4 linked regions of the Canis lupus familiaris genome follow. The protein of the gene in region 1 interacts with the protein of each later gene in a pairwise test. Links are inferred from orthologs where the notes say so. Each region holds a gene or a part of one and is shown on either strand. Other genes may lie near its edges.

The links.
Region 2: the proteins of RNF5 (region 1) and UBE2W interact in binary tests that used the Homo sapiens proteins (3 or more experiments, as listed by UniProt). The link is inferred for Canis lupus familiaris from reciprocal best matches to the Homo sapiens genes RNF5 and UBE2W.
Region 3: the proteins of RNF5 (region 1) and SLC38A7 interact in binary tests that used the Homo sapiens proteins (3 or more experiments, as listed by UniProt). The two-hybrid records come from large-scale screens. The link is inferred for Canis lupus familiaris from reciprocal best matches to the Homo sapiens genes RNF5 and SLC38A7.
Region 4: the proteins of RNF5 (region 1) and INSIG2 interact in binary tests that used the Homo sapiens proteins (3 or more experiments, as listed by UniProt). The two-hybrid records come from large-scale screens. The link is inferred for Canis lupus familiaris from reciprocal best matches to the Homo sapiens genes RNF5 and INSIG2.

The regions. Positions count from the first base shown.
Region 1 is NC_049233.1:1,702,976-1,707,312, forward strand, and holds RNF5 (E3 ubiquitin-protein ligase RNF5), read left to right. Parts: upstream 1-1,479; 5' UTR 1,480-1,644; coding exon 1,645-1,784; intron 1,785-2,665; coding exon 2,666-2,684; intron 2,685-2,779; coding exon 2,780-2,892; intron 2,893-3,008; coding exon 3,009-3,063; intron 3,064-3,140; coding exon 3,141-3,258; intron 3,259-3,367; coding exon 3,368-3,465; 3' UTR 3,466-3,934; downstream 3,935-4,337. UniProt on the Homo sapiens protein: Membrane-bound E3 ubiquitin-protein ligase that mediates ubiquitination of target proteins. May function together with E2 ubiquitin-conjugating enzymes UBE2D1/UBCH5A and UBE2D2/UBC4.
Region 2 is NC_049250.1:22,835,095-22,838,661, forward strand, and holds part of UBE2W (ubiquitin-conjugating enzyme E2 W), read right to left. Parts: intron 2,334-3,567; coding exon 2,178-2,333; intron 1-2,177. UniProt on the Homo sapiens protein: Accepts ubiquitin from the E1 complex and catalyzes its covalent attachment to other proteins.
Region 3 is NC_049223.1:57,279,371-57,282,358, reverse strand, and holds the end of SLC38A7 (putative sodium-coupled neutral amino acid transporter 7), read right to left. Parts: intron 2,550-2,988; coding exon 2,447-2,549; 3' UTR 541-2,446; downstream 1-540. UniProt on the Homo sapiens protein: Symporter that selectively cotransports sodium ions and amino acids, such as L-glutamine and L-asparagine from the lysosome into the cytoplasm and may participates in mTORC1 activation. The transport activity requires an acidic lysosomal lumen.
Region 4 is NC_049240.1:33,228,498-33,232,064, reverse strand, and holds part of INSIG2 (insulin-induced gene 2 protein), read left to right. Parts: intron 1-2,916; coding exon 2,917-3,041; intron 3,042-3,567. UniProt on the Homo sapiens protein: Oxysterol-binding protein that mediates feedback control of cholesterol synthesis by controlling both endoplasmic reticulum to Golgi transport of SCAP and degradation of HMGCR.

The sequences.
Region 1 (4,337 bases):
GAGAGAAAGAACGCTAGATTACTCTGGGACGAGCATGCCTCCTGAATTTTGTAGGCATGTATCTGTTCCCTGTCCAGCCTCTGACCTCCTCTCGCTCGTCTTTCCACTGTCCCTTAAACCAGGACCATTGCGTTGCTCCTCTCCTTGGTCTACACCCCTTCCCCTAGAACTTTTCTCCTAAGCCTTTCCCGGCATCCTGTACCTTCACTTCCCCCGCCCTCCTCTCACCTGGCCTCCCTGGTCACGTGAGACCTTTATCTGGGTGCTGACCTGCCCTCGGCCCGAGTCTGTCCCCGCTGCCAGACACACATTCGCCCTGCTAGAATTTACACGCCCTGAGGTCGAGGATGTAAGGAACACTGGTATGGGAGGACTGTTACCTAGTTCTGCTCCTTGGGCCACAGTGAGGTCACTGACTGTAGAGAAGGCCCAAGCTCGGGCCTGCCCAAGTCCCGGGGGTCCTACCCAGGAGGAAGACCCCACTTCTGCGGGACACACTACAGGACGGAAGGGGCGGGCCTAACCCCATTCCGCCGCGGGTCGCTCAGGAGGGCGGGCCTTGCCCCCTCGGCACCTACTCACGAAGGGGTGGAGCTAGTTCGCTTTTCAGGTTTAAAACGGGGCCGGGGTCAACTCTGTCATCCTGTGTCAACGTTAGAAAGGTGTGGGCCTTGAGATCTGTTCTGCAAGTCACCTAAGGAGGAGCGGGCTGCGTCCCGCAGCCGAGGGAGATGGGTTAACACCAGCGCCGCAGGTCGATGCTCGCACCACCCACACGTCGAGCTGATGCCAGTTCTGCTCCCTTCTTCACTGAAAGGGAGGGGCGAGCCCCAGTTCTGCCCTCTACGTCACCGAAGGAGGCCGGAGCCATTTTGAGCCCTGCGACCATAGCATTTGCTACCTCGCCGAGCTCTCGGCCGTCTTTTCCGATCTCGGCCAATCAGGGCTGCAAGAAACTAGCCAATCAGCCCGGAGAGACCGCAGTCGGAGGGCCCGGATGAGGCGGCGCTGATGCCTTTGAACCCCAAAGCCCGCCAATCGTAGAGCAGTCACCACGGCGACAAGAGCGCGGCGAGGGGGTGGGGCCAGAGAAAGCCGAGCACTCTCGGCCTGGCCCGCCCCTTCCCGCCGCCTGCTGCGCGCGCGCACTTTGCCGAACCACCATCTTCCGTCGAGTTCCAGCCAATCCAGAGCTTCGGAGCTCTACGCTCCAAAGTCCAATAGGAATCCGGACGTTCTCGGAAAGGGGAAGTGAAGCAAAGAAAGGGCTCGGAGGAGGCGGGGCCTGTGTGGTCCCGGACCAATTGCTTCTGGCCCTTGGCCCTGACTGGCAGCTACTCAGACGAATCAAGCTCCCCGACCAGGTCCAACGGACACCAATTCTGTCGCATGGCGTCCTGACGGAGACGCGCCCGCCAATCGTCGCTGGCAAGGGCAGGCCTGCGCAGACCTCTCCCTACCCTTTGGGCCAATCCTGGCTTTTAAACTGTGTGATTGTCAGCCACCCAGACCAGTAGTGTTTAGACAACCTCGAAGCCCGCCCAACGGTCGTGGGCTGGAGGCGGTTTCTCGCTGTTGGGGCGTGTGTGTGTCTGTGTGTGTGTTTGGGGAGACCGAGGGGTACGTGAAGGCGAAACACCGGCCATGGCAGCCGCGGAGGAGGAGGACGGGGGCCCCGAAGGGCCAAACCGCGAGCGGGGCGGGGCGGGCGCGACCTTCGAATGTAATATATGCTTGGAGACTGCTCGGGAGGCTGTGGTCAGCGTGTGTGGCCACCTGTACTGGTGAGGGTCCGGCCGGGGCTGAAGAGAAATGGGGCTCGCCCCTTACTGGGGAGGCTGGGGGCGGGATGGCACGCATACGGATAGTCGGCGGGCACATCCCCGTGGGCGAGGCCCGAGGTCTCTGGGAATGTGTGGGTGAGAGGGTCACATCTCCACGGAGGAGAGCCGTGTGGCGGAGAGCCCTAGGAACTGGGCGCTGAGGGGTGTGCTGTGGTTAAGAGGCAGCAGGGCGGGGTGGTGGTGGGGGAACTACATCTGTCCAGGTGAGACCCCAGCCGCCTTACCCCGGAAAGTGACGGTCTTAGTTGTACAGGTGGAGATAGATTAGACTCCAAGGTTAGAGGAGGCACGCCTTAGTCGGGTACGGGAGACCGAGGGAATGTAGGATCGCATGCAGATGAGATCTTGGTAGGGAGTGGTATGACAGACCTGAGGACCAGGGCACTGAGAAATGAAAGGATGGTGGAAATAGGGACTTGATGGAGCCTAGAAGAGAGGAAAAGGAGTAGTGGGGGCAGGTGCTAGTAAAGGGGGTTTGGTTGAGGAGTGATGCGGGCAGGGCTGGGGTTGGGGCTGAAACAGGAGATCTAGAAAGCTCTGGTTGAAGAGACCTGGACACTAAGTTCAGAGGCAGAAAAGGGAGGGGACATGTGTGTTCAAGGAGAGAAGAGCGTTGAACCTCGGAGGATGAATATTACTTTAGACGTTGTAAGATCAGAGAGGTGGGAAGGCCAAATTGGCTGGCATGGAATAGGTTGTCAAAAACATGAAAAGAAACAGCAGGTAATACCTGGGAAGAGGGGTGCGATCGGACTCTGAGGTCAGGTTCGTGTCTGTCTTTACTGTAGCTAGTTTGACCTTCTTTTTTTCCCCCCATCTAGTTGGCCCTGTCTTCATCAGGTGCGTACTCAGAGGAGATGAAGAGGGAAATGGGGAGGTCTGAGGAGTTGAAAAACCCTACTGTGAACTGGAAACCACTTCATTTTCTCCCTCAGTGGTTGGAGACCCGGCCAGAGCGGCAAGAGTGCCCAGTGTGTAAAGCTGGGATCAGCAGAGAAAAGGTTGTCCCTCTTTATGGGCGAGGGAGCCAGAAGCCCCAGGATCCCAGGTGAGAGAGAGGGGGTGGTGCTGAGGGAAGATGGACTGCTTCTGGCCTGGGAGTGGGGCGTGGAGGGGGAGAGGACATTCCTTGCTGCTAGCCCTAGCCAGTCTCTCATTCCTCAGATTGAAAACTCCACCCCGCCCCCAGGGCCAGCGACCAGCTTCAGAGAGCAGAGGGGTGAGTCTTGTCTGATTTGTGTTCCTTCCTTGCCAAAGACCTGCCCAGTTCTCCTCTGACTTTCTCCACCTCCCTAGGGATTCCAGTCATTTGGTGATACCGGGGGCTTTCACTTCTCATTTGGTGTTGGTGCTTTTCCCTTTGGCTTTTTCACCACCGTCTTCAACACCCATGAGCCATTCCGTCGGGGTACAGGTAAGAAGAGCCTTCCCTCAGCTCCAAGCAGGGAGCCCTCTGAGTCCCCTCAGGCCTTTTCCCAACCTAGGAGTGGATGCTTCTCCCACAGCTTTCCTTTCTCCTACAGGTGTGGATCTGGGACAGGGTCACCCGGCCTCCAGCTGGCAGGACTCCCTCTTCCTGTTTCTCGCCATCTTCTTCTTTTTCTGGCTGCTCAGTATTTGAGCTTTGTCTCCTTCCTGCCCACCTCCAGCCAGAGGAGAATCAGTATTGGGGGTCCTTGCTGACCCTTCCTTACTCCTGGCCCCTCCCTCCCAACCCCTCCGTTTCTACTGGCTAAGGCCAACCCTGGCCACTTTGTAGGAGGGTGTGGGGAGGAGGTGTGACATCTGTGCAGAGGATGGGAGAAACTTCTGCCCTGAACTCGCTGCGTAGCATCCTAACTCCCAGCTCTGGGACAGGAGGACAGACGGAAGAGGATGTCTGTTTCTTCCCTCTCCTGATCTTTTGCTTTCCCCCACATTTGTTGATTTGATGTTGAAAGATGGGCAAGGCTCCCACTGACTCTCCCCTACTTTACCCCTGTTGACTTAATTTTTCTCTCCCCAGTGTCTAATATGGGTTCTGATTCTTAAGTCCTTCCTTCCCTTCACTACCTCCTTTATTATAAATTCAATAAACAAGGTGAGATGTACTGATGGGAGCTCTGCCCACCTTTGTCCTTACCCCCTTCCTTCCAGGACAGGAGCATCTCCCCAACTTGAGTAAATATTTGCACGGTGTGGGGAAGTGTGAAGGCTTTCTTCAAGGCTCTGAGGGATTCAGAGGGTGAGGGCGTCTCTCTCTCTCTCTCTCTCTCACAAACACACACACACAAACACACACAGAGGCATCTTTCTCACACACACACACACAGGCGTCTCTCACACACACACGTGTCTCACACACAGTCATCTCATACACGTGTCTCACACAGGTGTCACACACAGGCATCTCTTTCTCAAACACAGGTGTCTCTCACACACAGGTCTCACACACAGTCATCTCTTACACACAGGTGTCTCTCACAGTCATCTCTCACAGGTGTGTCACACAGG
Region 2 (3,567 bases), on another chromosome or scaffold:
TCTTAACTACGAAAAATAAAATTGGAATGAAAGAATTATGACTAAATCAAAGTTCCCAAACTCTTACAATAAAAACTAAAATATGTATTCAAGTCAAATTTTAAAATGAAAGTCATAGAACCACACTAACCACAGAATAAAATTCACCTGCTTTAAAAGAGCTTTTGGTGAGTAGTTACAAGACTTTTAAAAGCTTATTTAAGGAGCTAGATCCCCTCAGTGCCAAAGCAAGTTTGCTCTTCATCTTTGTAACCTAGTACTTGGCTCAGTAAAAACAGCACCTAATAGGTACCTAATAAACGTTTACTAAATTTTTATTGTATTTCAGAGAACTAATTAATGCTGCCAGAATTACTTCCATATTATTATCTTGGTTAAGTATAATTTAGATTATATAATATAGCTTGCCAATATTTGAAATGGAATAATTAAGCATATACTATGCAAGAAAACTAGTAGACAACTGAAATATGAAGGAAATAGGATTAGAAAAGGATAAAGAAGATGAAGAATTTATTTTCTAGTTTTTATTTTTTTTTATTTTCTAGTTTTTAATAGTAAATTATTACATTTATACTATTGTAAATCATTACATTTATTTAATTATTATATATCATTATATTAAATATTAAAAAAAAGTGGTAATCATTACAAGGCACATGCAAGAGCTATGTACACACATCACCGGTGTTCATCTCAACTTTCCTTTTTAAAATCCTAGACTTACTGCTTCACCTTCCTAAAGACATTAAACATTAACAAGGACACAGAAGTCTTTGTAACTACTCTACACCTAAACATTTTAAACTTATGTGTGCGCTGGGAGAGGAAGTGTGGGGGAGGAGAAAATATGGAAGCAATAAACGAATAAGACTTGTTTCCAAAGCCCTTGGGGTTAACAAAAGCTCAAGTGTAGCCTTAAAATGCAACCTAGAAAAAAAGCCCACAGGCAAAGAGGAAACTTAAAAAGTCATACTACAATTAGATAATGTGCACCCTAATTCATCTAAGATGTACATTTTTTCTTTACATTTTAATATTCCTGAATGGGGATACATGTGTTTTATACTAATGGTGTCATAGTTTAACTGCTGGAAGTTTTTTCTTTCTTATATGGTATATAAAATTCCATATTAAGGGCTCTTAATGCTATAATTTAAAAAGAAGATACAATTTAAACCATTATTTCCCATGCTTCTTTGAACGAAAAAAGCTGTTGTGTTTTTTTTTTTTTTTTTAAACCTAACACCAAGAAACTTCTTATGGAACTAACATTTCAAAAAACTTACGTTGCCAAGCTAAGCGTGTTTCAGAGTCTAGATAATCTAGCATTTAAAAATGAGCTACTTAAAGTTCTCTAAATATGAACTTAGTAAAAATGATAGTTGAATTTGGAGAACACAAGGAAAAAACACTGCTGTAATAACCCCACAGATCCCTAATCTGCAAGGTAAAGCTGTTTCTCCTTTAAACCCAATACAAAAGGAAACCCTCATGAAGAAAAGAGGCTTTAAAATATATAAACACATGAACACTGTGCTACACTGACCCTGAGGCAGAAATAACAAGAGGGCCAGAAATGCACACGGAATTTAGATACTTTAAAGGGGTATCCTATATTTAACTTATGTGATTTTTCTTTCTGGTATTTTCACCTTTCCAACAGACATAGAATCTGTGAATAAATAAAGGAGAATTAGAGAAAAAGTCCTGAAAATTCTACCGGTAATCTAACCTTCCTCCTTCAACCTAATCACTAGATGATCAGTATGGATAGGAAAGCTCTAGTTGCTGGGAAACCCCCTAAAAGTGGCTGACAGTGTGGGGGCCACCAGAGGGGAGAAAGCAGCTATGAAACATGCTCTTGGGGCTTTCCGTGGTGAAATCTAGAAGTGAGAATTTCTTGTACACTTCTGCCCTGTGCATGCTTACAGAAATAAAATTCATATTACTTAAGAACATCTGCAGAAATTTTGTTTAAGAAATATAAAACAATGTCTTACTTCCATGTGGAGTGAAAGAGTATCAAAATACCTATTTCTAATCTATTATTAAACATATTATCTATAACTTCATAATAAAAGGCATTAAGTCCTTCCTTCACATAGTATTAAAATAGTTTCGCTACCTAAACTAAAAGAATAGATATTACCTGGAATAATTCTGAGAAGTCCTACCTTTTCTTTGCAGCTGGAAAGCATGCTAATAATGCTAAGACAAACTGACTGGACTGAGAGCGCTGGGGACCAGTCTTCTGTTAGAATGGATAAACAGATATGACCATTGCTATAAACATGAGGATGAACGGGAATATTTTCACCAGTAAACATGACCTAAGAAAGAATAAAATTCCATTAACACTCAAATATTCTGTATTACCAAGACATAACATATTCTCCACAGAACTTATTTTAAAAACCAGTTAAAAACAAAATAAGTGCCAGAAACAAGGATAAACAACTGCCTGCTGTTTATTCTCATCAATTCACAAAGTACTGGTTTCATTGTATGAATGAGCACGTAGGTAGGGGATGGAACATACAGAAAAAAAACTCAGGTTACCCGTTTTTTATTTCAGCTATTTTTCACAAATTCCCTTTAAAAATTTATAAATTACCAGGCATATTTAGCCTAATAAAGACAACTATATTTGTAAGAATGCTTTTTCAAATTGTACTCATTGCTCTCTGCATATAGAAACACAAAGGTATTTAATTTTGAGACAATATGAATTGCATATGACAGGAACATCACTTCTACCTGTAACAATGCTATTACGTGAGGTGCTTTGTGCAAAAGGAAATAACTGTTATATATATCTCACCTTCTCTGAACTCACTCATCCATTATGATGGGTAAAAATTACTACTTATTGATCAGCAAATAACTATGTGCCTACACACACAAAAAACAAAGGTTGAATGAGTCAAGTTTTTCTCTGCCTTTTCTTCTACTTAATTCTTCTTAACAGGTTTTCCTTTCTCCATCTTGCCACAGCACCATTTTGAAAGATAATAAATCTATTATTCCTTCCTTTACCCTCATGATTAAGTATCCCAATAGCAGTGTTTCGTAAACATATCTACCTTCAGCATTTGAATGAGGTAGAAGAGTGAATTTATACATCCTGATTCAGAATCTGTAACCACAGCCCAAAGTAGGACAAAGAAACAGAAGTCTAATATTTAAGAATGTTTATGTTACTTCATAAGTTACTTAATTTGATATAAAAATTAGTCCACCAATGTTTACATGATTTTTATAATGCAGTAAGACCTAACATTTTTATTGTTTAGTAGTAATTATTAATTCCTGACCTTAAAAATAAAATCACCTGAAGATCTGGCTAAAAATGTAAGTGCAACAGCTCCACTTTCACAGATACTGATTTAGTAGGTATGATGGGTTTTTATAAAGCTCACCAAATATAAACCAGTAGTTCCCAAACAACACTTACAGTATCTCTCTTAGCCCTAACAAACTGTCTCACATTTGAATACAGCAAAATCTTAGTAAGAAGAAACCCCACCTTCAGTTATATCAGAAATTAATAAAATATTTATTGCT
Region 3 (2,988 bases), on another chromosome or scaffold:
ATTTGTAAGTGTGTACTTATGTGACCACTTGCTTAGTATCAGTCTTACACAGCAGTTTGAGAATGGAGCTGCATACAGCTGAGTATCTTGCAGCCCTGGAAAGTGCCTGGCTTCACAACCAGGACAACCAGGGCCTGCTTAACACATGCCTCTGAAGGGATGAGGGTGGTTGTTCAGGCAGGAGTCTGAAGCTCATCGCAGAATGTGAAGTCAGTGAGCCCTGCAGCATGGAGGCCAGTCTGAAGGCCTATGGTGTGGGGAAGACAGGAGGACTTGAAACAAGGCAGTGGCTGTGGGAGACCAGGGCAAACTGTCAGGTTGGCAGGTAAGGGCTGGTAGGATGTGCAAGAAAGAGGAGGCATCTAGAACCACTTGTATGCTCCCATCTTGGTGAAGGGAACATAGCAATACTCATGCCTGAGACAGGGGTCAGAGTCGATAAGGCCAAAAGTCCCCACCCCAACCCCTACCCCCGCAGCCTATTTTCCTGCTGTCAGTGGCTTGGATTCTGTCCCCAGCACCAGACATAGGCCACACAGCTCAGCAGCACAGCCTCTTTTTATTAACCACCCTCTCTGGTATGAATGCGTACAAGTAGAAAAGAAACAGTAAAATACCCTGGAGGGGAGGGCAGAGCAGGGGGCTCCCGAGGTTAGGCCAAGTGGCCAGATTCCACTCCTTTTCCTGACTGGTCTGTTTTGTGTGATGACTCCCCTCACATCCTCCATCCCTCGGCTGAAATCCAACATTAGGAAGCTGTTCAGCCCTGCTGACTGGACCATCCTAAGCTTGGAAGGGATGGGCACTGGAAGGGCCTGATGCTGAGTACAGGCTAAGAGAACACAGCAGCACTGGTCTGGCCCCAGGGGCTGTGGGTGGATCTGAGGAAAGGCAGGTCATCCAGTCTGGGAACTGAGCAAAAGTCTATCTGGCCACCAGCCAGCCAGCCAGCCTCTGCTTCTGCGATCTCACAGCCCTGAGTGGTGGGTGCTGGGTGGGGGTCCTGCTCACCCCTGGAACAGAGGTTTTGAGCAGAAGGGGCCAAGGATATGTTGGGAGTTCCAGGTGGAGGAAGCCTGATTCAATGCCTGGGATTGGTCAAAGTGAGCAGCCAAAAAGGGAAAAGTGGGACTGCAGACCTAGAAAGAAATGTCCCTCTTCTCCCCACCTGGGGCACAATCCATGTGTGACCTCAGTGTGATTGACAGACCGCTGAGGCCAAGCCTGGTGGACCTGTGATGCTGAGAAAGCTGGCAAGAGAAGGTCTTGCATACCCCCTACCCTCAGTCTTATGTGAGCAGGAAAGCCTGCACCAGAAAAATGGAGTAGGGAGTGAAGAAACGACAGAGGGAGGGAACAGACAAGATCTGGACTGGAAGGGAAACTTCCAGACTGTCATGACTACACGAAAATGTTGCCCAGTCAGTGACAACTCAGCTGTTCTTCTCTGTGGGCTATCCTGCTAGGGTTGACAAGGAGAGGTGAGCAGAAGGCCAGCAGAAGAGAAGCAGTCAAAAAAAAAAGAAAAAAAAAAAAAAAAAAAAGAAGAGAAGCAGTCACTGAAAGAGAAGTTATCAGAGAGGCTCACCTTGACACTGACCAGCCCAGCCTACATGGGTTTGAAAGGTTCTCAGACTTATCACCCTCCCTGTGTCTCTGAAGCACGGGGCACATCTGGAATCTGAGAGAGCAAAGTAGACTTCCTGCCAAGGGAAAAGCTAACTGAGGAGTACTCACAGCACCGTGGTGGCACGGTATGGCCCCTGGCCTCTGCTTCAGAGCCGGGCTGGCACCGTTTGTAAACATTAGACTTGATGATGTCTGGGGATAGAAGACGACAAGAATGCCTGGACTCTCAGGTTTGGGGAAAGAGGCCCCAGGCTGAGGTGGACGAGGCATGACTCTATCTACCTCTGTGCATCTGTATGACTTTTGTGCTACCTTTGGAAGCTGCCATCCCAGAGAAGCCACTGTTGGCCAAGCGGCTGACAAACTGGAGCAGGCACTGAGTCTCAGAGTAATACGCATGGTTCCTGCTCAGGACAGGCTGCTCTGAGGAGGATGGCGGTGGCCCTTTGCCCACACTCTTTCTCCAAAGGAAAGTCAAGCCAGGTTCTCTTTTCTGAGATGTTCTGACCCTCTTCACCCATGTTTTTCAGGCATGGAGAAGCTGAGAGCTGGCAGACAGGGAAGGTTCTTCTGTGATACGAGACCTCCTCCCTGCATCCTCACACTGCTGGGACCAGAGAGCAGGAGGGGAGCTGGGTTTGAGCTGTCCAGAGGTAAGAGGCCTGATTTCACTCCAAAACTGTCCCTGGAAAAGGATGTCCAGATGTCATCCCATCAGGAAAGGGGAATGATGCTGGACTCAGAGTGGTCCCACAGCTCTGAGAGATGGGCTCCTGGGTTCAGTGGCAAAGGCCATGTGTTGCCTGGGAGGCAGCTGTTACGCCAAGAGATCCACAAAGATGGCGTTGGTTGTGGTCTGGCCGAAGATGAAGGCTCCCAGGGTCACCAAGAGGATACCATAACTGACCAGCGCCCACCAGCTGTAGGGCAGAGGGAGAGAGGGACCTAGTCAGTCAACCTACCCTTGACTTTGCAGACTTCTATATATATCAATATATATCAATATATACATATATATATCAGTTAATTACTGTAATTACTTATCCCACTTCTTTACAATTAATTATTGTAATTATACCACTTCTCCTGTGGGTAGAGCACTTCCTACTTCTTTTTTTTTAAGCACTTCCTACTTCTAAGTGACTTTTCATATAAAGGTATGTGAGGCCAGGTGTGTAATCCCTAGACCATGGGCCAGAAGACCAAGACCTAATGGGATTTATTGACTGGTCATAGTAAGCCAAGGACAGAACCAGGATTAGAACACATGTCTTCTGATGGAAATAGGTTCAGGACAAAGCAGTTCACATGGAGTATGATCCACTTCATTTACAAAAGAAAGCAGACATCTGTAAATCT
Region 4 (3,567 bases), on another chromosome or scaffold:
TGACCCTTGCCAACTTTTTTCTTCTTCAGAGTCTTTGGAAGCTCCCTTTTTGCCTAAAGCTTACAATTTCCAGGTGATAGTAGGTATTTTACATTGTACATGCTTTTTACCAGATGCTTGCCTTGGATTAGAAAACCCCTTCCGCACCACTGACCTGCTGAACTCAGCTCCTGCCTTAGGGGCCACCTCTTCTGTGAAGCTTTCCTGACACTCCAGCACCCTGCCTCCCCTCAGCACATGTCAGGAGAAGACTGGGCCCCCACTAGGCCCTGTCAGTGCCTCCCCTAACGTGTTACTGTATTGAATTGTTTCTGTGCTCACTCTGAGGCTGGAATCATGTCTTACTCTTTTTTCTTTTTAAATCCTCAGCAAATATCAAGAACTGGACAGGTTATGGGAGCTTAAGTATCTATTGAGTGAAACATTGCATATGCTGGAGTAGTTTTCCGTGAAAGTCTATCACATTCAATGGCTTTGTTTTCTTCAGCCCCTCTTCCTTGCAAAACATTTGATTTAACTGTTCTTCTTAGTCCATCACGGAATTAAACACACTCCCATGAAGAAGTGATGACTTAATATTGATGTTTTACAAACTACTTCTGGTTTTGGCTTGGTAACACAGTAACTGGTCACTGGGAAGTAACATAAATCTATCCCAAGAAATGTTACTTTGTATCAGAGAACCCTATTAAGCAGAATGATGTTTGCAAGTAACATTACACGGGCATGATTTTAACAATCTCTCTTGTTAAAATAAGAAAGTGGAGAAAGGAAAAAGAAGCCCCAGACCGGACATAGTTCTGCTGAGCTCTCAAATGGTGGAGCCTCACTGTGCTGTAGTTATTGCTATCAGACTCTGCCGTGCCTTTATTTAAAGGGAAGGAAGAAGACATTTAATGGGAAGTGACAAGCTTCCTCGAATTCTCCTCCTCAGTGAGCAACTGAGAACCATGCATACTCAATGGATTTGATTTTTATTGGCAAATCCCAAGGTTGGCAGCGTGGCAGTTTAAATTCCTTTTTGTGTTTTTGCTTTCTCTCCTCAGTTGTCTCTCACTTGTGAGTCTGACATCACATGCATACAAATCTAGTCAATTTTACTTATTTATATCTTTGCACACACGTCAGTATTCTCTATGTGATAATTCTTTACCTGTGGCATCAGCTGCTGAGGAAAATTGACTTGGAATGCCTGATCTTAGTTGATTTTACTCAGCAACAGGCACAGGGAGGAGAGAGTGAGAGTGAGAGTGAAGAATGACATGAGCTGTTAGTTTCATGACCCCTGGAGAAAAAAAAAAGTAATATTCATTTAGATGTATTTCAACTGTTAGGCATGCTTGTTGCCATTTTAATTTTGTAGAAATTGGGAAACGCTGTCAGTTAATCTCCCAGGATTTTAGAACCAAGCCTTTTAAACAGGAATATGATATGAAAGTTTTAAATTTGCTGATAGTTGTTGGAGGTCCGCATTGCTGAAATTTGTTGTTAATCTCTTGATGGTCTGTGAGCCATCTATATACACACAGCAAAAGCCCAACTCAGAAGAGCACTTTCAGTCTTGTGGATTAGAACACATGTACATCATTGCAGCTGCTCACCCCCAGATGAAAGGGTGGCTGTGCGGCCTCTTTTTAATAATGTTCCATTGGTCTGCTAGCCTGTGATTTTTTATATTAATTTATTTCCATTTTTCCTTAAAGATTGAATGCTTCATTTGTAAGAAATAGCTAGTCAATACCAGGGCAGACAAGGGGTTCCTGATCCTTAGGCACTCAGATTTTGGTAGCATTGGACATTTTAAACATTGCTTTTCAACTGATGTGACAATTGTGTCTTTATTACTTAATGGCAACATAAACCATTCTGTTTTTAGGAAGATTAACAAGTCAAAGCTATCGAGTTATTTCCTGTTAAGTTTAGTCTGTAGAAGTGCATTTTCCTTAAAACTTGTTGAAGAATGTTTTGGTTCATTAAGGTCTTTTTTAAATGACTAACTTAGCATTTAAAATCTTCTCCCATTAAATGAATAAAATGTTGAAGCTTGGCAAGTATTTTAATTAAAAATTCGGTGCAACTATTTAGAGTCTCAATCATAGACATTTTGCATACAGTTATTCATAATTATATGGTTGACATTCAGGATATTCTTTCCAAAACTAAGAAATATACTAAAATGATTTCTCCTTATTTTTAAGACTGAATTTAAATTTTAACTGAAAATCATTGTTCTCATAGATTGTTTCCTAAGTTTCTCTATGTGCAGAATGAGGCTTACATGTAGATTTCTGTTGCAAGTTTCCCGTTTTGACAGTATGACCTAGTCTCTTTAGAGGGTCAGGGTAAAGGGGAATGTCAGGACACAGCACTGGGTGCTGAAGACAAGCTGGAGGCACTAGGATAATCTGTACAACAGGACGGCTATAGACATCCGAACAAATACTGTGTGTGTGATGACCTTATTGTACGCATTTATGCTTCTAGCTTCTCGCTTTTCTTTAGACAGTTGGTGGCATTTTATAGCATGCTTCATGGTTATGTAGTTCAGAGAGAACATTGCTTAACTGCCAGCTGGTTTGATGTTTTCAAATCTCAGAGATGGTAGTAGTGGAGAAGTAGCATGAACCATCTAGTCCAAACTGCTAAATTGTGAATCATACACTGAAATCGTGCTCTGCCAATTATAATTTGGAATTCTCTTGTAATCATTTATGGTGCTTTCTTCAGTGGTGTTATTTATTTTTCTTTCTTTTGGGAGGTAAGTTTAAAAATATTGGTGACTGATGTTATATAACTTGGAGAGCTTGTAAAACAATCTTTCAAATGCTTATGGGGGTCGTAGTAACTCTTTTCACTTAGGTTTTTGCCATTTTGGCATTGGAGATGACTTAATTTTTTTTCTTTTTCTTTCCACAGCTGTGATTGGGTTATTATACCCTTGCATTGACAGGCATCTAGGAGAGCCACATAAATTTAAAAGAGAGTGGTCCAGTGTGATGCGGTGCGTAGCCGTCTTTGTTGGTATAAATCATGCCAGCGCTGTATCCTTTCCACTGTAATGAAATGCATAATCACAAAGCAGCTCCAACAAGCCAAAGGTTAAACAGTTCCTTGCAACTTCACTATTGTCAAATTGTGATATGTCCCCTTAGTCGTAAAAAGAATGTGTGGCGTATTGTTGAAACATCACAGTAGCAGCTGTGTTGTTACTGGATGGGGTATAACCTTCCATTTAAATCCCCATGTTTCAGTATCACTGAGAAACTTTGCACATTTAAACATTTTACGTGTTTTTCTTAAATTAGGTTGCTTAATTCTGTATAGTTTTGGTAACTCTAAGATTGAAACAAGTACATTTTCAAAGGATTTCTTTCCTCTCTCTTTTTGTTTAAGACTTGCCAATGAGGACATGTGGCTTCAGGTGCCAGCTGTTTTTGGTTTGTTGTTAATTTAAGGAACTTATGATTTTTTCCAAAAAAGACTCATCTATTGGTTTTAATCAATGCCAGCAAAGCACATAAATTTTCTTAAAGGTGGCATAAGTAGAAATATTCAGCTTAGACATTG